Caenorhabditis elegans: one gene and its partners. The protein of the gene in region 4 interacts with the protein of the main gene of each other region in a pairwise test. Each region holds a gene or a part of one and is shown on either strand. Other genes may lie near its edges.

Evidence for each region.
Region 1: the proteins of bar-1 (region 4) and pop-1 interact in binary tests that used the Caenorhabditis elegans proteins (3 or more experiments, as listed by UniProt).
Region 2: the proteins of bar-1 (region 4) and pry-1 interact in binary tests that used the Caenorhabditis elegans proteins (3 or more experiments, as listed by UniProt).
Region 3: the proteins of bar-1 (region 4) and axl-1 interact in a two-hybrid assay, tested with the Caenorhabditis elegans proteins (one study listed by BioGRID).

The regions. Positions count from the first base shown.
Region 1 is NC_003279.8:2,827,309-2,831,958, forward strand, and holds the start of pop-1 (Protein pop-1), read right to left. Parts: upstream 3,004-4,650; 5' UTR 2,986-3,003; coding exon 2,811-2,985; intron 1,291-2,810; coding exon 1,172-1,290; intron 1-1,171. UniProt on the Caenorhabditis elegans protein: Transcription factor. Part of the Wnt signaling asymmetry pathway. Binds to the consensus sequence, 5'-(C/T)TTTG(A/T)(A/T)(G/C)-3'.
Region 2 is NC_003279.8:14,173,330-14,181,307, forward strand, and holds the start of pry-1 (Axin-like protein pry-1), read right to left. Parts: upstream 6,032-7,978; 5' UTR 6,028-6,031; coding exon 5,923-6,027; intron 5,027-5,922; coding exon 4,964-5,026; intron 4,905-4,963; coding exon 4,815-4,904; intron 4,770-4,814; coding exon 4,632-4,769; intron 4,182-4,631; exon of another isoform or gene 4,109-4,181; intron 3,867-4,108; coding exon 3,685-3,866; intron 3,638-3,684; coding exon 3,506-3,637; intron 2,884-3,505; coding exon 2,655-2,883; intron 1,932-2,654; coding exon 1,751-1,931; intron 831-1,750; coding exon 408-830; intron 245-407; coding exon 145-244; intron 1-144. UniProt on the Caenorhabditis elegans protein: Works in parallel with axl-1 in negatively regulating bar-1 signaling in vulval precursor cells and Q neuroblasts. Inhibits Wnt signaling, which affects tissue specific expression of Hox genes, egl-5, lin-39 and mab-5.
Region 3 is NC_003279.8:8,511,904-8,518,045, forward strand, and holds axl-1 (Axin-like protein 1), read left to right. Parts: upstream 1-1,996; 5' UTR 1,997-2,015; coding exon 2,016-2,087; intron 2,088-2,221; coding exon 2,222-2,422; intron 2,423-3,317; exon of another isoform or gene 3,318-3,422; coding exon of another isoform or gene 3,423-3,488; intron 3,489-3,963; coding exon 3,964-4,083; intron 4,084-4,126; coding exon 4,127-4,176; intron 4,177-4,285; coding exon 4,286-4,411; intron 4,412-4,454; coding exon 4,455-4,619; intron 4,620-4,889; coding exon 4,890-4,966; intron 4,967-5,014; coding exon 5,015-5,099; intron 5,100-5,146; coding exon 5,147-5,302; intron 5,303-5,351; coding exon 5,352-5,502; 3' UTR 5,503-5,610; downstream 5,611-6,142. Other genes in the region: K02B12.2 (Myb_DNA-bind_3 domain-containing protein), read right to left, coding at 1-331, 385-448; tnsl-1 (Tonsoku-like protein), read right to left, coding at 5,631-5,819, 5,867-6,006, 6,057-6,142. UniProt on the Caenorhabditis elegans protein: Works in parallel with pry-1 in negatively regulating bar-1 signaling in vulval precursor cells and Q neuroblasts. Shown to have a role in excretory cell development.
Region 4 is NC_003284.9:7,165,500-7,172,528, forward strand, and holds bar-1 (Beta-catenin/armadillo-related protein 1), read right to left. Parts: upstream 5,127-7,029; 5' UTR 5,118-5,126; coding exon 5,050-5,117; intron 4,936-5,049; coding exon 4,809-4,935; intron 4,744-4,808; coding exon 4,648-4,743; intron 4,591-4,647; coding exon 4,486-4,590; intron 3,853-4,485; coding exon 3,706-3,852; intron 3,660-3,705; coding exon 3,535-3,659; intron 3,487-3,534; coding exon 3,372-3,486; intron 3,318-3,371; coding exon 3,105-3,317; intron 3,058-3,104; coding exon 2,812-3,057; intron 2,767-2,811; coding exon 2,653-2,766; intron 2,610-2,652; coding exon 2,466-2,609; intron 2,418-2,465; coding exon 2,292-2,417; intron 2,246-2,291; coding exon 2,150-2,245; intron 2,107-2,149; coding exon 1,875-2,106; intron 1,831-1,874; coding exon 1,742-1,830; intron 1,696-1,741; coding exon 1,539-1,695; intron 889-1,538; coding exon 653-888; 3' UTR 506-652; downstream 1-505. Other genes in the region: pgp-10 (P-GlycoProtein related), read left to right, coding at 1-138, 251-387.

The DNA of each region.
Region 1 (4,650 bases), on a different chromosome or scaffold from region 4:
AAAAAAGAAGAAAAAACTGTTTTCGAGGAAATGCAACGAGTTTTTGGATTCAGAAGATAATAGATTCAGTTTTTCGGTGAAAATTTTGTAGAATTTCTCACGAATTTTTGGCTTCCCTCATAAAATGAAATGGAAGAGTTTTTGCCGAACTAGGTCATTTTGGCTCAGTAGATTTACGGCGCGTTGCGTGTCGCGTCGCGGCTCGATTTTAGTTGTAAAACTAAATGCACTTGTCCGTGTGGAGTACACGACTATCCCAGTCCGGCGGGCGATTGTCAATGGAGCGCGAAAAATTCAATGAGGAAGGCCAGAACCCCATGGCGGAAAGCCAAGAATTTTTGGATTTGGAAGACAATAAATTCAGTTTTTTAGTGGAAATTTTGTATTATTTCTGCTTTTTGGGGAAGAAAATTGTAGGAAGAATAAAAAATTAATACGGTTTTTTTTCTACAAAAATGGAGAAAAGCCCTAAAAATTCTTGAAATTGGGTAAAAATTTGAATTTTTTTTTTTTGGAATTTCTGCTTTTTTGGGGAAGAAATTGTTGGAAAAATGATTTTTAATAGGATTTTAAAGCAATTTTTTGCAAATTTCGACGATTTTTGATTCAAATTGAAGAATAAGCTCAAAAATACACAATTTTCCATATTTTTCAATAAAGCTTTCGATTTTAGGGTGTTTTTTCGCTTTTTTTAAATAATTTTTGGTGTAAATTCTTAAATTCCAAAAATATAGAGGCTCTCGAACCCTTTAAAAATTCAAAATACATAATTTTTCCCATTTCTTAGGCAATTTCTGGGCAAAATATTGAAATTGCAACTTTTAAAAGTATTTCTAATGCCTAGACTACATAATTTTTCTAATAAAATAGGGGGAATTGTCATAAAAAGGATTTTAAAGCGATTTTTCGTCGATTTTTGGGGGAAATCTTGAAATTTCAACTTTATAAGGTATTTATAACATATTCGAGGCCTAATATTCACCTTTGTTTTCAGATTTTTCAGTGAAAACTTCCAATTAAAGCCGATTTTTTGCCAATTTCGGTAATTTTTCGTTCAGAAGTATTTAACTTGTTAACTCTAAAATACAATTTTAAGTCGATTTTTGTCGATTTTCGCCAATTTTTATGTGTTTTAATTCAAATTTTTTCAATTTTCCAAGTAAAAAATCACCATAAATAGAGGCATAAACATGGGTAAAGCAGCTGCCGAGTATCCAGGACTGAAGTGTGACATTAAACCGGGAAACGATGGTGACATTGGTTCGACTTTTGGAAATGCACTTTTTAACACTGAAAATTTGATAATTATTCGGTTAGAATGGTTAAAAAAGAGCCAAATTTTTGATTTTCAACCGATTTTTTGGCAAATTTCACAATTTTTAGTCAAAATTCTTTAAAATCCAATTTTATAGGGTTAAAGATTTCATTTTTCCAGATTTTTTCATGAAAACTCCGATTTTAAAGAGATTTTTCGGTAATTTTCACAATTTTTAGTTAAAATTCTTCAAAACTCAATTTTATAGGGTTAATTATCTCATTTTTCCTTCAAAATTTCGATTTTTGAAAGCGATTTTTCGCAAATTTTCACAATTTTCAGTTAAAAATATTTTAAAATTCAACTTTTATAGTGATATCCGAGTTCAAAACCTCTCATTTTTTAGATTTTTCAATTGAAAATTCGATTTTAAAGCGATTTTTCGTAAAATTTTAAAAGGAATTTCTAGCACCTCTAAAGGCCTGAAATACATAATTTTTTAGATTTTTCCATTCACAGATCTCAAAAAAGGTCAATTTTTGGCGCCAAGTTCAAATTTCTCAGATCAATTTTGAATATTATCCAATTCTTAATCCTTTCGCACCCCTATACAGTCTATTGAGCACACACAGACGGACCAACTTGTTCAAGTACTCACGACGGATTAGCACACAAGATAACGGACCGAGATAGTATGGGATTCGGAGAGACGCAGATGGTGTTCGAACACCGTTGCGTAACATCCTTTTACGTCATTATGTCATTGCGTAAGGCCCGGGACCATCAGGTCAATTCTTAGGGGTGTTTTGAAATTAGCATGGATTTTTTTAATAGAAAATAGTGAAAACCGGAAAAAAAATTGGTTAAAAATGAGTAAATTTCATTTATAAAGTGTTAGAAATACTTTAAAATATAAAAAATGGCGAAAAATCGCTTTAAAATTGGTTGAAATTCAAAATAACACTGAAAATACTCAAATTTGTCAAAAAAAAATATTTTAGCGATTTTTAATTAATTTAAATTCCCGCGCTTTTGTCTCGATTTTGAACTCCGCCCATAAAACCGTGCCGCACTTTTGCACTTTTTAATTTCAACGTAAAGTCCAATTTTTGGGTTGTTTTTCTAGCTTTTAATGAATTTTTCGGCGATTTTTAAAACCTTTTTCTCCATTTAAAAACTGAAAAAAAACCCCCAAAATATGGATTTACGCTGAATTTGAAAAAAAAACAAAGTGCGGCACGGTTCTATGGGCGGAGTTTAGACAAAAAATGCGGGAATTTAAATAAGGTTTTTTTTTCAAATTTAATGATTTTTTTCTCTTTTTTTGGGATCAGTCTTAGCATTTAAAGTTTTTATTTAAATTATTTAAATTTAAATTTATATGTATTTTTTTAATATTTAATGTCCCTTTTTCCTGCAGAAATTTAGAAATTTAGAAGAATTTTCAAATATTTTTTTTGTGTAATAAAGTCGAAAGGCAATTGAGGTGGTCCATAAAATTTTGTGTGATAGCTGGCCACCTTCCCCTTTCGATCAAATTTATTGGAAAACTCACCATCAATCGATGGATTTCGACCGGCACCGTCTAATTCTGCTTCCATTACAGCTTCTTTTTTATCATCGGCTAACTGTTGTTCTGACGTTTCACCACTAATCATTGGATCATCGTCAGCATCCTCATCCCGACGGAACACCTTCACCTCATCGCCGAGCTCTTCGTCGGCCATCATTTTTGTGTATTTTTATATCTGGAAATTTAGAGCATTTTTTAACGATTTTAATGGGAAATTGACGGAAAAATGGAGGGAAAAGAAGCACGGAACCATTTAAAACAAGAAAAAAGGGGGACTAGGTCCGCGGAAGTTAGGCCATGGAGAGGGGAAAGACGCGGGAAATTTGAATTCGATAGGATTTTGGGGAGAAAGTGGAGGTTTAGACTTCTAAAATTGGAAAATGTTGAATTTTTATTGAATTAGAGATAAATTTTGACGACAAAATCGAAATTTTAGATGAAAAACTCAAGAAAAATCAGCAAAAACGGTGAAATTTGTTTTAATTTTAATTTAAAAAATACTTTTGTCCACCGTAACTTTTAAAGGCGCATGCCGCTTATTTTGGTGTGGGTCTCGACACGAATTTCGAACAAAATTACTTTTCTTTGCTTAAAAATGTCGAATTTGAGCTGTTTCGTTGAAAAAATAATTTGAAACGAGGAAATTTCGATGTGAAATATCTAGAAATTGATCGAAAACTTCGAAATTTGTTCAAAATTAAATTTTCAAGTATTTTTGTCTACCGTAACCTTTAAAGGCGCGTGCCATGTATTTCAATGTGGGTACCACCGCGAATAACAATATTTTTCGGCTTATTAATTTGTAATTTGAGTTTTTAAAAATAAAATCATAAATTTTAAACAAGGGAATTCCGAACAAAAAGGAGAAAATCATCAAAAATCTTTAAATTTGTTTAAAATTCGCATTTTTCGACATTTTTGTAAATATACCGTAGTCTTTAAAGGCGCATGCCATGTTTTTTGGCATGGGTGACACCACGATCAGACTTTAAATACCTTAAAATTACCTATTTTTGACGTAGAAAATTACTTTTTTGCTTATAAATCCGAAACGCGGGAATTTTAAATTAAAGAGCAGGAATCGATACGGTGAACAAAACACATCTGTCATTGGCAACAGATGGCCTAGCCGAAAACTAGGCCGCTACTCGCTCTACAAAATTCAAAAAGAATGACGGGAAAAAAAAGCGAAAAATGTTCGAATGAAGAAGTTCCTCCAATTATAAAATGCAAATAAACGTAGAACCCAGCAGGAGGTAGGAGGGAGGATAGTGGAACGAGGAAAACGAGGCGAAAAGGATCCATAAAATTCAAATAAATGACGGACCGGGGGACGTGAGAAGAAGGGGGGAAGAAGACAAGAGGCGGTTGGTGGTGGTGTATGCGCGCGCTGTCGGTAGTGCACCATGGCCCCCCGCTACACCAATTTCTCTGCGTCTCTCGCTTTCATCGCTCATCAAGGGGCCGCCCATGCTAAATGGTGTGTGAGAAGGCCCTGTGTGTGTGCGCAGGTGGCCGACAATAATAGCTGTAGAAGAGGTTAAAAGAGAGCATGGAACTTGAAGAGAGTGGAGGTTGAGTGAGAAAAAATAAAAATCAGATTGTCCTGAAAAAAACCATTTAAAAATTGATAAGAAGTGATTTTTGTGGGCATCGGTAATCGGTAACCCGGGGCGTCAATATATATTTTTTATCGAAGTGTTCATTTTCTTCGTTGTAACTCACCGGGAAAACCGTGAGAATTGGCGGAGAGATAGAGACACAGCGTGTTTTCATCTTTTTTTCTTTTTTCTAATTCTCCTTTCACTGTGAATGTGACCCC
Region 2 (7,978 bases), on a different chromosome or scaffold from region 4:
AAAAATTTTTGAAAATTTTTGGAAATTTGTTTTTCCAAAAAAAAATATTTTTGAGCAAAAATTTTTTTTTTCAAAATTTTCCAAAAACTTCCAAATCAACCTAAAATCAATATTTTCCCAGTTTAAACCCAAAAAAAAACTCACTGATGTGCTCCATTTGGCAGAGCAAAGTGCCTCTTGAACTCCGCCAACGTCATTGGTCCATCGTTAGGGACATGTGTTACCACAGGGATTTTATCGGTTCCTGGAAAAAAATTTGAGTTAAAATGTTAGAAAATATAAAATTTAGGGTAAAATCTACCCTAGAAACATAGAAAATCTGAAAAAAAAGTTCAAAAAAATTTTCAAAAAAAAATTTGTAAAATTTTTTTTTTCACTTTTTTTTGTATAAAAAAATGAAACCTTACCTAAATAGCTAATAGTTATCAAATTCGACAAATTTTTCCCAATTTTCGAGTGCTTCTTAGGCGTTGGAGCCTTTCTGTGCTGCCTCCGATCCTTATAATCCAGTGACGAAGTGGCGGAGAACGCCGACGGTGCCATAGACCCAATTCCCGAAGAATCATAGAATTGACTCGATTTGCTGCTCCCCGGAGCAAAATTCACCCTGGTAGTGGGCGCCGGCGCGAAGGAGTCCCTACTGTAGGAGGAGCTGGCTGAGGAGTACGATGGAGCGCACATTGATTGGCTCATCATTCGATTTGTGTCGATTTGATGGTGACGATGAGATTTTAGAGAAGCCGAGGTGTCCCGGGGGTAATCTTTTCGTCTCGGGACCCGAATTGTGTTGTGGAGCTGAGCGGGAGCACGATTGGTTGGGGAGAGGGTGGCTGGAAAATATTATAAATTGGAAATTTGAATTCAGCTCATGAAGAGCTTCAAAATACGTATAAACATGCTTAGGTTCCGTCTAGTTTGAAAAAAGTTGGGTCCCGCCACGAAAATTTGGGGCTACAGTAATAACTTTCGTGGTGAGACCCAAAAATTTCCAAATTTCACCAAACCTAGGCATGATTATACTTATTTTGAAGCTCTGAACGAGCTGAGTTTGAAAATTGACTGGAAATATAAAAATACTGGATTTTTTTTTGAAATTTCAGAAATTTGGGTCTTACCACGAAAGATATTTAAAATTTAAAACTTTTACAGTTTTAGTAATTTTTTTTTTCAGCTCGTCAAGAGCTTTAAAACGAGTATAAACATGCCTAGGTTTCGTCAAATTAGAAGATTTTTGGGTCTCGGCACGAAAATTTGGGGCTACAGTAATACATTTCGTGACGAGACCCAACAATTTTCAAATTTCACCGAACCTAGCCATGATTATACCTATTTTGAAGCTCTAGGTGAGCTGAGCTTGCATTTTGTAGTTTTAAAGCAAAAATGTCATTTTGTAGTTGTTGGTTCTCACCACGAAAAGCTACAACACCCATTTTCGTGGCGGAACCCAAAATCAAGAAAACCTAGGCATGTTGGTACTTATTTTGAAGCTCTCAATGAGGCAGACGTGATTTTAATAATTTCAATAATTAAATTTATTAATTTTGGAGAAAAAAGTTTTTGCTCAAAAAAAATTTCAAAAATTTTTTTATTTTTAATTTTCATAGATTCGAACTAAAAAAAAACGTTCCCTGACAAATATTTTTGTCATTAAGATGTTTACTAACAGCTATTCCAATTCTAACACCTATTAGTAATATTAATCCCTTCATGAGAATAACCCGACATATGGTACCGGAGCATGGGAACTCACTATTTTTCGATCCTTCTCCAGATTTGTTGGGCTCTCCTGCTGGGCCTTTAGGTGATCGATTTGTTGATCCTTTTTGGGAATCATCTGTCATTTTCATTTTCAGATAATCATCCAACTCCTCGTCCTCATCGATTTTCCCCAGATCGTCGTTGGGCTCCGTGCCGTTTACCATGTCGATTGTCTGAAAAATTAATTTGAAAATTGAAGTCAGCTTGATAAGAGCTTTAAAATAAGTATAAACATGCCCTATTTCAGTTGAATTCAAAAAATAATGGGTCTCGCCACGAAAATCCAGGGTTACTGTAGTCGTGGTGGGACCCAAAAAATCCAAATTTTGCAGTGGTGACTAGATAACTAAAAAAACATGCTCAGCTTGTAAAGAGCTTCAAAATAAGTATAATCATGCTCAAGTTTAGTTGAATTTGAAAAATAGTGGGTCTCGCCACGAAAATCTAGGGTTACTGTACGCTTAAACCAGGAATATTTAAATAAAACGGATCCTAGACATGTTTATACTTATTTTGAAGCTATGAGCAAAGTTAGCTCCAATTTATAAGTTTCCAAGCAAAATTGCAAAATTGAAGAAAGTTGGGTCCTGCCGCGAAGTACGATTTCGTGGTGGGACCCTAAAATTCTTTGAATTTCACTTTAAAAATTACAAATTCAAACTCAGCTTGTTGAGAGCTTCAAAATAAGTATAATCATGCCTAGGTTCCGTCAAGTTTTAAAAAATGTGGGTCCCACCACGAAAGGTATTACTGTAACCCCACATTTTCGTGGTGGGACCCAAAATTTTTCAAACTTGGCGAAACCTAGTCATGATTATACATATTTTGAAGCTCTCGGCGTGCTGATTTCAAATTTTACAAATTCAAAGCCTAAAACTCGAAACTGAAAAACCTACCGTATACCGACACTCTTCGATATCGTCAATCCTCTTCTCCATCTCATCATTTAGCTTAACCTTATCAATATGCCTAAGCAGTTTTCTGGTGATTTCCATTGCAAAATTTCTTCTTCCTGATTCAGAAGAATGATCCCATTGCTGACCATCGACGCTGGCTTTTTCGACACGTGGCAGTGTCATGGTACCGTGATTCTCGCGGGCTTGTTCGTCTCGGATATGGCGGAGTCTGGAAATTAGACACTTTTAGATAAAAATTTGATATAAGCTCACTGAGAGCTTCAAAATAAGTATAATCATGCCATGGCCTGAAAATTTTCAAAATTTTAGGGTCTTACCGCGAAAACTTTTGGTTTTTTTGTAGTAATAGCTCTCAACACTAAAATTTAAGGTTTTCAAAAAAATACAATTTTCAAAAAAATAAGCTTAATTTGGGTCTCGTCGCGATTTTTTTCAGAAATAATTTATTGAACCCTAAAAATTTGAAATTAAAGTTCAGCTTGTAACGAGCTTTCTAACAAGTATAATAATGCCTAGGTTCAGTTAAGTTTGAAAAAATTTGGGTCTCGCCACGAAAACCTACCAACAGTAACTCGGGGTTTTCGTGGCGGGACCCAATTTTAACGGAACCTGGGCATGTTTATGCTTGTTTTGAAACTCTTGGTAAGTTGAGCTCAGCTATCACAATTTAAAAGTAAAAAATCTGAAAACTGCCAAGTAGGGTCTCACGACGAAAAGGTTAGTGTAGATTTTCGTGCCGGGACCCAATTTTATCGGAACCTAGGCATAATTATACTTATTTAAAAGCTCTCAACAAGCTTAATTCAAATACATTAACCAAAATCACCTACCTATTACTATGCATCCTATGGGCTTCGGGCGTGTCCCCAGAAAACGTCGAGCTGACAGCCGAGTCGTTGTGTGAGGTAGTGGCGTTGCATACGTATGGTTGACGTGTCGGTGGGTACATTTTCTCAAGTTTTCTAAAAAAAATTCAAATTTAAATAGGTAGGGTAGGTAGGCGACTTACGTTTCTCCAAGTTTGCTGTGCCTGTCGTGTTTCGATTTTAGGAGGGCCTCAGCTGTGAGCTGGGTGGCGATTTGTGCGGCACTTTTACGGGAGGTAGTGCCTGACGACCTTCTCATGGTGTTTTGGTGTGATGAATGGTGGGCGGAGCCTCCCGGGAGCTGGTCGGCGGTGGTAGATGACATCTGGAATTGGGGTTTTTAGTTTTTGGGATTGGAAATTTTTTTCAGAATTGCGATAAGATACGTAAAATGCTAAAATTCAAATTCAGCTTAAAAATAGCTTTCGAATAAGTATAATCATGTCTGGGTTCTATTAGAATTGGGTCTCGCCACGAAAACCTACAGTAACCCTTTCGTGGTGGGACCCAACTTCTCGGTTTTCAAATTTTTCACACTGTGACTATAAAAATTCAATTTAGCTTAGAAAGAGCTTTCAAATAAGTATAATCATGCCTAGGTTTGGTTGAATTTGACAAAAGTTGGGTCCCGCCACGAAAATTTGGGGCTACAGTAATACATTTCGTGGCGAGACCCAACTTTTCTCAAACTTAACGGAACCTAAGCATGATTATACTTATTTTGAAGCTTTCAGTCAATTGAGTTTAATTTTGTAAATAAAAATTGCAAAGAATCAAAATTCAAAAAGTTAGGCACCGGAAAAATTTCGTCGTAGGACCCAATTGTTGGAAAACCCTAAAATTTTCGCCAAAATTCTGAAAATCTGAACTGAGACCGCCGATATTACATTAAGAATGCATAGGTTTCGCAAATTCTGTAAATTTTCCAAACAACCTCGGTCTCGCCAAGAAAATCCTGGGTTACTGTAGGTTTTCGTGGTGAGACCCAACTTCTATCAAATTTGACGGAACTTAGGCATGATTATACTTATTTTAAAGCTCTCAGTGAGCTAAATTCAAATTTTCACAATTAAAAAAAAAAACAATTTACCTTATTAAAAGCCTCAATAAACTCTTCGGAGCCCACAAACTCCTCGTGTTGGCGTCTTAAAAATTCTTGAACAAAATTCGAACAATGACTGAATACCCGATCCTCTAATTCGGTGCCATGACGTAGTTTTTCACCAATCCAAAAATTAATTTTTGATTTTAAAAAATTTTAAGAAAAGCTTACCGGAGCCCTAAAATGCTTGGGAATTGCTTCGCAGTTTCCGGTCCGAGAGGACAAAAATTTCGAGTATATTGACTTGGAAAGTTGGGATTTCTAAAAAAAATAGATAAATATTGCCCGATTTGCCAAAAAAGTTGCAAAAAAATCAATACCTCCGGTTTTCCCTCCAACGCCATTCGTTCGTATGCTCGGATTGCGAAGAACAAGTCGAGGTACTGAAAATTTCTTATTTTTTTAGAGAATTCGGAAATTTAAAGTCAATATTTGAATTTAGCTTGCTGAGAGCTTTGAAATAAGTATAATCATGCATGAGTTCCGTCAAGTTTGAAAAAATTGGGTCTCGCCACGAAAATGTGGGGCCACAGTAGTAGATTTCGTGGTGAGACCCAACTTTTTTTTGACGGAACCTAGACTATTATACTTATTTCAAAGCTCTCAGGATGCTGTGTATGAATTTCAATAAATTTAATTTTTATGGGGTCCCACAACGACAAACAACTACAGAACCCCATGGGTTGCGTGGTGGGACCCAACGTTTTGCGAAACGTGGTCATGATTATGCTTTTCCAAAAGCGCATGAAAAGATTGATTAAATTATGAGAAATTTATCTCGAAAATTAAAAAAAGTTGAAATTTTCGCAAAAAATTTTCGAAAAAACGTGAAATCGCAGACTTTCCTTGTAACTGGTCAAAATTCTCACAAAATTATGATTTCGCCTGCAAAACTATAAAATTCGAAGTCAGCTCGCTGTCAGCTTTTAGATAAGTATAATGATGTCCAGGTTCCGCAAAGGTTGAAAAATTAGGGTCTCGCCACGAAAATTTGGGACTACAGTAATAACCTTCGCGGTGAGACCCAGATTCTTTCAAGTTTGAAGTAACCTAGGCATAATTATACTCATCTTGAAGCTCTTGACAAGCTACATCCGAAAACAAGTAAAAATTTCAAATATTGGAACTTTGGGTCCCGCAGCAAAAGAAAATCTAAAAATTTTGCGCCAAAACCTAAAAATTTTCAAAATCATCGTAAAAATGTCATGATTATACTTATTTTGAAGCTCTCGGCAAGCTAAATCCAAATTTCGCAGAAAAATCCCAAAAAAAAAGTTACCTGAGGCGAGGAGTACTCAATAAGCCATTCCTGAAACGCGTCGAGTGCCGATCGATCGGATAGAACGGCCTCCAGGCTTCGCGCCCAACCGAGATGGGTCTCCATGCACCTGAAAAGGAGGTGAATTTTATGATTATGTTGAAATAAGAGAATATTCAAAAAAAAAAGTAGAGAAAAACTTGAAAAATCGAGGGAAATTTTTTTTTGAAAAAATTTTAAAAAAATAATTTTTTTGCCAAAATTTTTTTTTTCAATTTTTTGTTCAAAACTTTTCTAATGACGCTTTTACTGAAAATTAAACAAATTTTATTTAAACTTAGCAGTTTGACCCCCTCAAAACCTATAAAATAGGCCAAAACTATACACAAAAAAAAAAAAAAAAAACTGTGATAAGATATAGGATATACAATATATTATAAGCGTCACTATTCCCTCTCTAATTGCAAAAATGGAACAACTATGGGTGTCTTATTGTTCCTATCAGTGGCTGATAATCAAGGAATGAGGCCCCTCGCTTACTCAATGAATGGGCGAGAGCGAGAGAGTGGCGGGGGTGAGAGACGCAGAGATAGTGACGGAGAGTAATGGGGTGTATTGGGAAGAGTAGTAGTACACACACACAGATAAGACACATGTCTCCAGAAAGATGACAACGATTGATGAGTGAACATTGTTTCGGGTGCCCCCGGAAGAGTTTACTGGGGACGCTCGACCGGCTACCGGGAGGGGCCCCTAACTTTAGGGGCGTTGATCTTGCTGGTAAGTTGGTCTAGCAGAAAAATTTAAATTGAATATATGTAGAAAATTGTACGTAGATTATTTTGTTAGTTGACAACTTTTTGCTAGCTCTGCTCTCTGCGGAGTTATGGAGCTTTTAGGTTGGAACTGGGGGCCAAGGGAGGCTTAGAGGTCAAGTTCAAATAGCTGTAACTCTGCGGAGACTGATGCCATCAAAAAGTTGTTAACTAGCATATTGTAGGACGTTTTATAGCAATTATTTTGTCAGTTCAAATGTTTTGCTAGCACCATTGTGTGCAGAGTTATAGGGGTTTAAGTTAAAACTGGGGGCCAAGGGAGGCGTAGAGGTCAAGTTCAAAATCCTGTAATTCTGCAGAAAATGACGGTATCAAAAAGTTTCCAATAAATAAAATGTAGGAAAGTTTATGATAATTATTTTGATAGTTAACAATTTTTTGCTAGCTTTTTTATTTGTAGAGTTATAGAGGTTTGAAGTTAAAAGGAGCCTAGCGCCTCTTGAGTTCAAACCGTTATAACTCTGTGGAGCCTGAAGCAATCGAAAAGTTGGCTATTAATAAAATGTAGGAAATTTTACGGTAATTATTTTGTTAGTAGACAATTTTTTGCTATCTCATAGTTTAAGCTTAAAAAATGTTTAAAAAATGTGACGCTGTAAAAACTTGATTTTTTTGAAATTATCGCCATTAAAAAAAAAGTCTAAAATTTGGCCAGTAAACCTCAAACAACACAATTTTTTTAAGATTTCAGCAAAATTTCTTAGTTTAAAATTTCTTAGCCCAACAAGGATTTTAAGAAAACCCAGAAAAATGTTGTAAAACTAGTTTTTTTTTTCTTGGAATATTTTGAGTTTTCAAACATTTCAAAAAATAAGATTTTACCGTAATTTTTTTTAGATTTCAAGCCGAAATTTGGCCATGAAATGGTTTGACCTAAACCGAGTCTAAAAATTTTCAAATTTTTACGCCTAAAAAAGACCTAAAATAGTTTGGCCTAAACTGAGCCTAAAATAAATTTAAAAACTGGATTTTTCATATAATTTTCCAGTTTTCAAAGCAAATATTATAGTCCCAAAGATGGTCTAAAAAGGAAAATGGGTAAAACAGAAGGATTTAGGAAAAAGATGGGGGTAGGAAAATCAAGGGGGGTAAAGAGAAAAGGAGAAGGAAAAGAGAATTGGGGGGTGAAGTGCCTCCTCTCTCTTCTTCTCGGGCGGTCGGTGTGAGAATGGAGGCGCCCCCTTCTTCAAAACCAGCGACTCTTTGATGTTCGCCGACACGTGCCTGCGTCTTGTCGATTT
Region 3 (6,142 bases), on a different chromosome or scaffold from region 4:
GCTTTATCAATTTTATCTGAAGATTCCATAAGTTTCGTCTCTTCACGCGCAACTTTCTTTTCGATTTTTGCCTCAATTTTTGGTTTGACTTCTTCTGATTTTCTCTTTTTCGCTGGTGACGGTTTGCTATGAATATCCTCTGCGTTGTGCTCATCTGGCATATCTAATAGTTCGATAATAAGTGTATTCCATTCAATTGTATCCTCATCATCTTTTCTGTATTGAAGATAATCGATCATTTTCTTCTGAAGTGCATCCAATTTCGGAAGAACCCATGTGCAATTCCCGCATTTGCTTAGATCGGTTGTAGACTTTACATGAGTAGTGTAATCTATAATACGGATATTTATTGGGAATCTTGTAAAGAAAAATAAAATAACTTACGATTAACTATCACTAGAAATTCCTCGATTCTCATTTGATCCACAGATTCATCGGCCATAATCATTTTTTTGTTGAAAAATCAGAACTGTTCAAAAAATTGGATAACTATCGAATGTAGAAAGATTCAAATGACTACATCTATGAGTGTCATGCAATGGTGCTCAAAACCGATCGATTTGTTGCTCTAAACCTTTAGGAAGGTCCGTTCTTCCACCATAGAGTCTCTCAATACACCTGTCTATAATTAGTCTCTCCCTTTCAATGTCTCTTATCTAATCCGTCGACTACCATGTGCACGAAAACATTCTCGAGAGCAGAGATTTTAAGGGAAAAGATAATTATAATGGAATCCAGGAAATGAGTGTAGTTCGATATCAGTTGTTGATAACATTCCGGAAGAGTTCAATGGTGGCCTATAAGGTCATCAGTGCTCTTGCCCGCCTTCGACACTTTTCCCAATAATAGAAATTCCAAAATTATACTAAACTACGGAGTTCACCCCAAATGCACAAAAGACACTTTACTTTCAATTCGAAACTTCTATTGTTTTCAGAAAGTATATCATTCGATCCCAAACTCTCTGGACACCAAAAAAGGTTTTCTAGTCAGAGTAGACATTTTTATATGCAAAGAATTGAGTAATATACTGTCATAATATCAAATTCGTCAATTTCAGTTATATCATGTGTGTACTGTTGAAGAGTACATCCATCCCCATCTGTTCCCACATCTGTCAGTTCATTTGTGTCGGCTGAATGTAAAAGTAAGTGAGTCAATCCATCGAAGGTCAACTTCTCGCGCGAAACGACACACTCCTTGATTATGGAAATTTCAAAACTGCTATATGCCCACATTCGCTATGCATTCCATGGTTTTATATTTTAACAATTTAAAAATTGATACATCAATATTTATCGAATTTTACTACATGTTTTCTTTCAGAAATCGGTGCTCTTAGTTTTAGAAAAATTGAAAATAGTGACAATAAGTGTTTCGGACAGTTTAACGTCACGAAAGACATTCTTTCCAGTAAGAATTCCGAAGGAAGTAGCCCCCACTTTTACTGATATGCCAACTTCTCGCGATAGACGCATTCGAGATAAAAAGCGAGTTTTCAATAATTAATAAAGTGAAGAAATTTCAAATCAAAACAAGAAACCCACGGCTTTTATAACTTCAGTTTTAAGACTACTTTAGAATAAACAAGGTGATAACCATCAATTCCCGAATTGAAAAAGTTAGAAAATCCTTCCAAATATTGAACTCTACTAGAAAGCTTGCATTTTGGCAGAATTTTTTTTATATAGACTTTTCAGCTATATACTCTAAATCGTGCTATAACATTTTAAACCCTTATTTTACGAGACTTGAACACAAATTTCTCCATTTCCTGTCTCCACACTCATTCTCTCCCTCTATCGTCAATTTATTTGCCAAGACGGTAGGGCTCTCGATCGGTTTGACACAATATCTCATCTCTTTCCGTCTAACATTTCGACGTTTTTTTCGCGCATTTGCTCAATCTCCACCCATACTTCAAATATTTAATCATTTTTAACCCAAGTTTTTCTTGTTGATAAATGATCTTACATGGGTAAAATACAAAACTTTCAGTATGAAACGAAGAAATAATGACGATGCGATCGAAATTCTCCATTGATCGAGTTCTTCATGATACCGCATTTGCCAAATGGTGTCAAAAGGTAGAGTAATCGTTGTATCGTTTGGAAAAATCGTATTGTATACAGTAATTACGTTCTGAAAATTAATTTTTTTAATTTATGAATCTATGTAAATATAATTAAATTTCCTGCCAAATAATTAAATCATGTTCTAGGAAGAATCGCGGAACGCCGATTCGATAACCCTGTACACGTCAATTTTGGATTTTGAATCCAAACTGAAAACTGGTTCTCCATCTCTATCTCTTTTAAAATTGGCTAGGCATATTCATCGAAAATACGTCAGTTTGAATACTGGAACATGCCACGTCATCGGTGATTCAATACGCACTAAGATCTCCACACGGGTACATGAGGTAATGATCAATATACTTGTTAATGTTTGTCTAGTCAGTTGAAATATCGTCGGTTGGAATATTTGTAAAAAATACTTATATGATAGTCAAGCATGCCCAAATATTTAATTTAATAACTCCATTTTTGATATTTCGAAAATTTCAGTCAAATTTTCAAAAATTGTACTTTTGATAACTTCTGAACATTCCTGCACGTCCGAATCAGATGTGGGCAACATTTTTGGAGTCCAGAAGTTATGAAAAATCAATAAATTGTTTCCCTGCGAATATTCTAGGTCAAAATCAACAAATCCAGCAAAATCGAAATTTTTGAACAAAAATGTGGTCAACTTTTCGTTTTCTCCTGATTTTGAGCCTTGATGCTAATTTTGTTTCCTAAACTGTACATTTTTTTCTCCGTTTTTTTTGCATTTACAAGCTTTCAATATTATTAAAAAATTACAAAAATTACTTTAAAAACTTCGCAAAAGTTTTCGATCGGAGTTTTGAATAAAATTGTTTTTTGATTTCTTGTCCTAAGAAACCTGATTCAAATCTCTACAATGTTCAAATACTAATAACTAAAACATAACCTAAAAAAATCAAAGAAGGTTTTGATATGATAATCATTCATTCTAGCACCACGGGAGTAGTTTTTTGAAAACTACCCCACTTGCCATACTTTACCTTTACTTTGGAATATTTACTCAAATTTAGGCAGCCGTTTTTCCGTAGAACCGCAGGATTTTTTCATCTCTCCGAACATTTCTCGGGCGTGTTCTCTGTTCTTTCAAGTGATAAAAAAGAAGAGAAACAGTTTGGCAGTTCTTTTCTTCGGATACCTGTCAAGTACCATGTGCATACACACAAAAGACACAGTGAGGACACTTAACACAAATTCTTAGTGTAGATCAACACAGGTTGACACGTCATTAGGCTTGAAAGTGTTGGTCAACACAAAGAGAAGAAGTGCTTCATTTCTTCAAATAGATATTTATTAGTTTTTGATTTTGTTACCTCCATGGCTACAATGTCGAGACGGTGGAATTATTTCACACCCCATTATAATGATGAAGGTTCAATTGATGTGAGTAATTGATTATTGTTTCAATTTTTATACTTTTTCTAGTAATTTCATATTTATTAAAATACTGCTTTATGAAAAATCGCTCGTTAAAAGATTTTACAGTTCCGACTATTTTCGAGCATTGCCGTAGGGTCACCTTCCTAAAATTTTCCTAAAAGTTTCAGATCCGGCATTTTAAAAATATTTAAATTTTCAAAAAAATGGACGTAGATATATCAGTCGACATATTACAGTACCTTTTCTAACGGTAGATCTGAATTACCTGTTACTCATATCTTACCTTTTTTGTTGAAAATTTGTAAAATTGTCATATTTATTTTATTCGAAAAATCTTATATCCATATCATAAAATTTCAAGAAAAGTAAAACTGGATATCATCATGAATAATGTCTTTTCATCAATACAACTTTTTTATTGGAAGTTGATGAGAACATTTTTATCCAAATGTCATTGTGAAACCATAACATTTTTCAGGTTCTCGATGGTAAACCCCCGTACATAGACTTATTTGATCCTCTCAAACAACCACTTTTCCAACATTTACGGTCAATGCACACTGAATTTTCAACGACAACAGCCGATGTTAATACTACTGTAACTTGTGGTTGACTCTAAAATTTATCGAATTTATTTTCAGTGGGAAGATGCGTCATCAACAAGTTCTTCAAATAAAGGTGCTACAATATGGTTAGTAAAAATAAATTAAGATATGCGAACCGGATAGTAGAGCCGTTTTGTAGACACCCCACTAAATAAAATAATTGAAAGAAGATTCTCAAGTCACACAAATTTTCAGGTTCAATGAAGACGCAATCGATAAATCATCCCGCCACGAAATAGGTCAAAGTACAGTAACCCATGAGTCGGAAGATGATCGATTTTCGTTTTTCAATGCTGTCTGTACACGCCTTAATTCCTTACAGTACGTGCTTTTTGATATTTCGAATATTTAGAAATCGTTTTAGAGAAACAAAAAACTCATCAGAAACAGAAGAACACGCAGAATCGCCACGAAAAGAAAAATCTTCAACTCCATATGGGACTGATGGATTTGCACCGCCACCGAGGAGCACACAGACTAATACATTGAAAGTTTCAAATCTTCCGAAACGTTTTGAATCTCTTTACAAGTGAGTCTTGTGACAAAGAACCCATCTGCCGATTTTCGGCAAATGCTCATGTTTAAACAATAATTGCCAAACTGTGTTCAGGTTTTCAACATAAAAAATACGGTGCCTGGTCTCAAAACGACCGAAACTTCGAAGCTACAGTACTCGGAAATAGTTCTCAATTGCCCACAGTTTTTTACATTAAAAATATATTAGAAAAAATTGAGTTCGAGAAAAAATTGTCACACGGTCTAAATACTTTTTCTTCGGATAAATTGAAGTAAATTTCAGAAAGAAACGCCAACAAGTTGCCACATCAGATTCCAGCGGATTCGGAAGCAATGCTAGTGATTTTTGGAGTTTTGAACGTAGGAAGTTCCCAGTTTTCAAGAATTTTATTCGAGAATTAATTTCAGGTTATGGAAAATCCAATCAAGGAACACTTGAAAGACCAAATCGATTATTTACGGGAACAAACAACGGGTTTTCCACATTACAACCGTAAGCTTTCACATCAAGAATGGCGGTTAAATAATATATATTTTCAGAAAGAGAAGAGGTTCAGAGGCTCCAAAAATGACTGTAGAACTACGATACGAGAATGATGTTCCGATGGTGGCAAAGATTTCAGCAAATCATGCACAATCCGTCACTTTAAGATATTTTAGACATTTATTCGGTCTTCACTATACTGATAACTGCCGGTAAAATATTTTTAATATCGCCAAGTTTTCAAAAAAAAAGTTTGTTCAGCTTTTTCTTTAAATCAACATGCGAAGATGGTTCCGCTCAATATCAATGGACTCTGCTCTTCCATGATGATGACATTCTTCCCGTGTTTCAAAATAGAATTACAGCAATTTGTAGAATGTGTCCTCCTCCAGAAGATCATGATTTAATTTAACTTTAATTATTCGTATGTAAAGATATTGTCGTCAGTTTTTGTCTTTTAATTGTACGGTTATTCATTTCATTTTACAGCAAAATGTGATAAACAGTATTGACGATAATTGATAAGATAATTGTGAGATACTAATACAAAATATTAAGGGCTCTGGGACATCCGCTGTGTAGTTCTTGTGGGAGACTTGGGTCGACTGTAGAATAACTAACATCTACATGAGTTATTCGTTCCATAACTGATAATGTTTCAAATACAGAATCCCAATGAAGATCTGATCCACGAGCAGAAAATGAGCACAAATGCGAAAGCCAATCAGACTGAAATTGAAAAGGTTAACATTTTATAAAAATCTTCATGAATGCACCTCAAACTCCACTTTTGTTTTCGTTTCATTTATGGTAAGTTCCTCTAAATTCTTCAATTCTCCCAATATCAGAATCCAGATCTGATCGGAAATCCACGAGGAGTTGAAGCTCAAATCCAACTTCTTGAGATGAGACATGCCTGTAAATTGAGCTTTTTGGTATTTTGGATAAAGTTAATGGAATACAAACCTATAAAAACTGATGGGATAATAGTATCAATCGAAGTATTATTCGCAAGCAACCGTATTCCAGAAAGATTTAAAGATTCAATATTG
Region 4 (7,029 bases):
GTGCAATTATCAGAAAACCAACTGTTCTACTGTTAGATGAGGCAACATCGGCATTGGATAGCGCCAGCGAGAGAGAAGTTCAAAACGCTTTTGAACGAGTCAAGAGGAGTACGAAGACTCAATGCACGTGTATTCAAAGTAAGAATTAGTATATTGAAACTGAAAAGTAATATTTAATGCGGTTTAAACTCTCAGCCAGTACGTCACGAGAATTGGCAAATCTCTAACGGGAAAAATGTTTTTTTTCCAGTCGCTCATCGTTTATCAACAATTCGAAACGTCGACAAAATATACGTTATTGTTCATGGAGAAATTGCCGAGGAAGGTAGCCATGAGCAGCTTATCAACTTGAAGGGTATCTACTACGAAATGAATCAAATGACGTAAATGAATTTGTTTTGGCATGCAAAAACTACACTCTGAATCTGGAATTCATAATTTGTAAATAATAGTTGTTATTTTTATAAAAATTTTCTTATCTGACACACTTTCTGAAATTGAAATTCAATAAAAATTCACTTTATTCAACATATTTTGCATGCCAATTCATGAACCCGTATACAAATAATTAGAATCTCATTTTCAAGGAATGTGCAACAAATATCCGACTGGGGTGGTGGAAAGTGTGGGGGTCTATGTTATAATTAAAAAATTAAAATCGACTATTCCTAGAAGGATAATAATCAGACGAATGACTACTCGGACCAGGGTTTGATGGAAGGTCGTTGTAAACTGGTGGACTACGGTCATAGCTGTTATATTGAGGAGGCGTTGGTCGCGGATAACAAGATGCTGTGGCATGGGGATCCAAGTACGTCTCGGGAGGTCCAATTGAGTATTCTGGATACATTGCTGGTGGGGAATGGTACATTGGTGAGTTGTATGGTTCTGAAGAAATATTTGTTTTTGGTTCTAGGTTCATAGTTTCTTTAATAGTATATTGTCTCAATCCAATTCGAAGGTGGAGTAGCGTCAGTGAAAAGTTTAGTAAAATAATCTTAAGAAAAAAACAAAACAATCATACAGCCGAAATAAAATATTACGAAATATATGTATTCTTTCAAAAAGTTTTGGCACCCCCACTTATAGAGCAAATACGTTAATTAAAAACCTTCATTTCACATTTAAACAATTTTTACTTCCAAAAAATGGGTAACTATGTAAAATGAATAATTGTCAAATTTTGATTGTTATTTTAAAAAAGTTGAAAAATTACATCTATAACAATTTTCCTAAGTTTTTTTTTCGCTCTCACAATGGTAAGCAAAACTATGTATGTAGATAGAATCTTTGGAATCCTGCGTTTATCAAAGTTGGCAATATATAAAAACTTCGGGAAGTTTTCGGCAACGAACAATCGTGTTGCCGAAGCTTTGAAAATTATCGAACATATATCTTTGTTGAGCTTATATTTTAAACTGCTTTTCTAAAGACATCTTCAAAATTTTGACATCCGGCAAATGTCAAAATGGCCGAAAGTTATTTGTTAAATTTGATTAGCTTCCTAGAGCAAATTAAATTGTCATCTTATATCTTACTTGATGAATCTCGTCCGGAGCTGTTGCAATACGAATCCATCATAGTATCATCTGTTAAAGGTGTAGACCATTGCTCTCCAGCTCCCTCACACACTTCACCGCTACTATTTAGTGCTTCGCTTCGTGGGGTGGTCATGCTCATGTGACCAAATTGGCTCTGTAATACTGACTTTTTCTTAGAGTTATCCCCCATTTTGTGTTACCTCTAAATATGAATTGTATCTTGGAAGAGTATTCCTTGTCTTTTCTCGCTTCTCATACATCATCTTGAGAATATTATTTGCTAGACTTGCTGTAAATTTTCAGTTCTACTTGTCTATTGGTGTGCAACGTTACCTAATTCAGGGTGAGTTTGAGATTGCATTTGAACATTTTGAAGCATTTTAACAAGAACGTCATCTCTGTCAAGTACGTTTGCCATTTGCTCATGATGCATCAAATTATAAATCAAGGCCAGAGCCGATGATTTCGTGTTCTCTTCAACGTTGGCTTTTTGTAATACAAAAATTGGAAGAGTATGACCATCGCCCATTCGGCTATTTTCAGGAGTTTGCAGGAAGAAAACAACCTATAAATTGAAATTTGGGTTTTCAACCTGAAAACATTAATACCTCGTTGAGAATGTCCTGGTCTCTTGTAATCCATCGCAGGATTTGAATACAAAGATGAATGATATCTTTCACGCGGACACCTTCGATAGATTCTTGCTTGAAATCCAACAATTATTAGTCGGTTTGTTGACTTTTTACTTACCACATTCAGCTGGGTACATGCCACTCTCAAAATATGAATGAGTTGCTCAACAAAACCTTTATCTCCAATTCGGCATGATCGGAATGGAGCAAGAAGGGCATGTTGGGATACAACTTTCAGCAGGAGCTAAATTAAATCTCAATTTCTTATTAGCCCTTCAAATTAATGACTTACACTCAATGTGTGTTTCAGCAATACTGGTCTCATTGTTAACAATTTGTGTAGAAATAATGCAGGATCTCGGAAAACAAATGCTTGGACCTTATCTGACATTGGATGTCCAACACAGAGATGCCGTAGCGTGCAAATTAGGCTTTCCTGAAAACCGTATTGTTAAGCTTTGAAATTTAAATGTTATTACAATATAATCCTCCATTTGCTGTGCTTCTTTATCTCTCAAGTCACCCATCTCTTTGGTGGCAATTGTTAAAGCTCTCACAAGAATGACAACCCCATTGTTGCCACACATAAACTCCTGGAATTAAAATTAATACTATATCTTGATTTCTGACAAAAGCACCTTGTTATGCCTGTTGTTTGCAACTAGATTTGACATTATCTGAGCAGAATATAGACGGATTGTTGTATTTCGAGAATTGACCAGCTCCAGAAGAGATTTCAAAAGTAAATCTTCTTTTATTTTGCTTGGTACGTCACTTATATTTCGCAAAGTTTCAAGGGTTGATTGTACAAGTCGCGGACTACCATGTGAAAGAAGATTGGCGAGAATTTGGCGACCACCAAAAGCAACAAGATTTGGAGCGTCCTGGAAAAGTTCAGACATTACATCCTTCAGTTTCAAATATTTCTTACAAAGTTCGAAAATGTTTTCAAAAGTTGCGTAGTTCGCCAAAGCAAATTTTCATAAACTCTGTGTTGTAGTAGCATGAGCAGTTTTTGAGGTCCTCCCATTTTCACAAACTTGATTTTCTGTTCGGTGTTCTTTTCACACAAAACTCTGATCAAGTCAACTATCACTGGAAGAAGTTTTTCTGATTTCTCCGCTTCTAACCACGGAGTCACATGCTGCAATTTTTTGTAAATTTTTTTTTTTCAATTTTTTTTCTTCTTTAATCTTACAGTAATCGCATCTTGTTGACGCGCAATGATCACACTTTGTCCGCCTCTCTGCTTATCGGACAGAATCGAATGCATAGTAAGAATGGCATATTTGTATATTGAACTTGGATAAGTACTGTAACAGCTATTTGAATGATTTTTTTCTGAAATTTAACTTTCTTACCCAATATGCCTAATAAGATTTGGAATTATATCAGGTTGTTCTGCGATCGCTCGAGTGACAAGATCAATTCCTTCCTGTCGGTTGCAAATGTGGAAGAATGTTCCCAAAGTGCAACGAATGATGTTCTGAAAATATATGATGTATTAAACTGTGCAAGTGCACAAGCTATACCGGGAATTCAACTTTGTCACGGAGAAGATCACGCAGTGTAAATATAACACGGGGGTCCACAATTCGAGCTTCATTTTGCCGTCGCATTGGGTCACACTCCATCTTCGCAATATTTTGCATCAGAATTACAGCTTTGTGCACAACCTCCTGTAAGATTTTTGTTTGAATAATGTTTTTTTCAGCAGAACAATCAATTTTTTTAAATTTTTTCCAGATACTTCAATTTTGATAATCGATTTTAAATGTTACAAACAATCAAAAGTTCAAACACCGGCTTCATCAGTAAGCAGCATTAGAACCAATTTATCTTTGTGTTAATATCAGTACTGAAATCAAAAGTTCATAGTTTAATTTCAGATTTTGTGATTTGAAAATTTAAGTGAATAAATTCGACTAAATATTTTTCTTACTGTAGATTTGATAATTTATTTTGAGTAATTGAAAGTTAAAAATCAATTAACATCATATTATACCTAAATGAAATAATAGTAGTCCAGTAATAGTAGTAATAGTAATAGTAATAGTAATAATAGTAATAGTAGACATACGTTTCTAATTTTTTAAAGTTTTTTTTTCAAAAATTTCAGTCACAGTTCTGATAAGTTGCTAAGTTTTCCAAAAATTTGTAACATTTCGAGCATTGTTGCATGTTGGAATACAAGATGTTTGAATATAATTAAAATATAAAAAATAGGTCAAAACCGAGGATTTTTTTAATTCATATATTGTGAAATTATGAGTATGAATATTTCAAAAAAGTTTTGAACAAAAAAATCTTACATTATCCTGATCTTTCATAAGCATAGTGAGTTCTGGAATTGCTCGAACTGTGTTATACTGCCCATCCGCTTGATTTTGCGTGATCCCATCAAACTTTTGTTTTTGCTGGAAGAAAAATAACAATTTTGTCCACCAGCGCATTTTGATATGAAATGGTCTTACTTGATCTGAAAGAGTGGGGATCGGCTCATAGTCGGCCATGGATGACATTCCGGAAAGATGCGATGACGGATGTAGAGATGATATAATAGATGGAGCCTGAAATTGAAACACATTAATCTTTGTTGTGTGTGTGTGTCTATCTCTCCTCTGTTTTCTCGTACCTCACTGTGATTCATTGTTTGGAAACCGCTATCAAAGTTGTGATTCCGCCACATATCCACCTTGCGGTGGCCGGTGCAGGGCGTTGAGCCCATGTGTATATCCGAATAGCTCGAGGTGTGTTGCTCCCTGTAAAAAATATTTTAAAACAGTTTTAAAATTTTTTTTTTGATAACTCCCAACATCAAAATAAATTGTTTCTTTTCCTCAAATTTGCAGGCTCGTTCAATCAAAAAAACTTACATTGTAAAAGATGCCTCTGATAAATTTGTGTCGTCATGGTTAATAACTAGGTTCGGATCCAGGTCCATCCCAGTTTTCTGAAAAAAAAAGCCAAATATTTTTTTATGAATCAATTCGAACAAGAAAAACGATTTGTCTGCCGGATGAAGAGAAAAAATAGGAAAAAGCAGTGAAAAAACTGAATGAACAAAATGTTTGAAAACATTACAAATCTTCCTGCTGGGCACAAGAAAGAGTGTGTGGTGATGGGGCGGTGAAATAGTGAGATAGAGAGTCTAAGGCTTGTGTAATGAAGAAAAAGCAATAATAGAAATGAGCGGTTTGTACCTAACCTAGAGTAAAGGGCTATTGATATCAGATGGCTTCTATTTCACCCCCAATCATTCCCATCCCCTTGCCCGTCCCGCTCGCATTATTCAACCCATTTTCTTTCGTGCTTTCAATCACCTATCAGTGAGTGAGCAGCCAAAGGTGTGAAATTGGCTAATAAAATTTAGAGGTATGTTTCAATAATAATGATTATCTGTGGTGAAACGAGAAGGCACACAGTCATCAGTTGTGGGTTTGAAATGAACAAACGGGAAAGACGGGGGAAACAACTTTGATAAGGATGTATTTGGGAGGAGAACTGGGAAGGCTGGGAGAGAAAATAGAAATGGGATAGCTTAGTCGTAAATTATCAGTTGGGATAATTAGTCGACTCTTATTTATCAAGTCCTTCATTTTTATTCTTCTTTATTTTCTTATTCATTTATATCATATCAGCATAACGACCCAGATTTGCTGTTTTTCAAAAGGTTTCTAGTGGAAAATCAAACAAGCCATCATTTGGTTTCCGTTAGACAGAATCGTTATCAGGATTATTCATTTTAGACAAAAGTTTGGTCAATAGGAAAGTGTTAATCATGGCAAATTAGAATAACCAAGAGTACAACCTTAAAAATAATTTTTAAAAATTGTGTTAACTTTCAAATTGCAGGATAAAATTGCAAACTGTGAATGATAAAAAAAAGTTAATTTTCTTTCAGGCTAAGTTTCTGGCATTCAAATTATTTAAGCAAAACTTTGATTGTTATTTATTATAATTTTATTGGAGTTCACTACTATAAATTATGTTTTTTTTATTGTTTCATGCAATGGATCAATTGCTAATTTTCATGATACACTTTTGAAAAGGTTTTTTTTTATTTCCGCTGAAGAAAAGCATCATCATTAATATGACTTTTTATCCTGTTTTCCAATACTATGAACTTTGATTTTTTGAAGGACACGTTAATGACTCATTTAGTGGGTATGAGTTGCCTATTGTTTGTACATTTAAACACTTTCACAGACAAATTGCATTTACTTGTTATGTACACAATGTCATAAAGACTACAACTTAAAAATTATATTAATGAATTAACTATCTTTCATACTATTCTGAAAAAGTTTTTGCTCAATTTATTTTTTAAGTTGTAAAAACTTATAATATATTATTATTTTACAACCGGAAAAAAGTGAAATTACGTCGAGAAAAAGCAATAAAAGAAGAATAGTTTGTTTAAGAAATGGAGAAAAGTGTTGCAACGGGTGCTCCATGTCGGGGGTTTACTGATAACAGTGTTCTCCTTATGAGCAATCTTTCATAAAGACATCATTTAACATTTCAAAATCTTACAGGAAATTGGAATATTTAAAAAATCAGTGCTTCCGTCTTGTGCTAAAAAAAAACATTTTTAACCTCAAAAGTTATTTTAACTTGCAATGTGTGTTATTTATGACTATTGCAAAAAGGATCTCATAAAAAAATAACTTTTTTTAACTGAAATTTTTCAATCCTTCACCAATTTTTCAATACAGGCGTCAATATTCCAAAGTTGGGTTTCTAAAAAGATGATAAGTAAAGATTGCGAGAAATGAAAATTTTAACACATGATAATGATACATATTATCAATTTTGAAGAAAAGAATAAGACGCAGTGGAATGTTGCAGTGTTC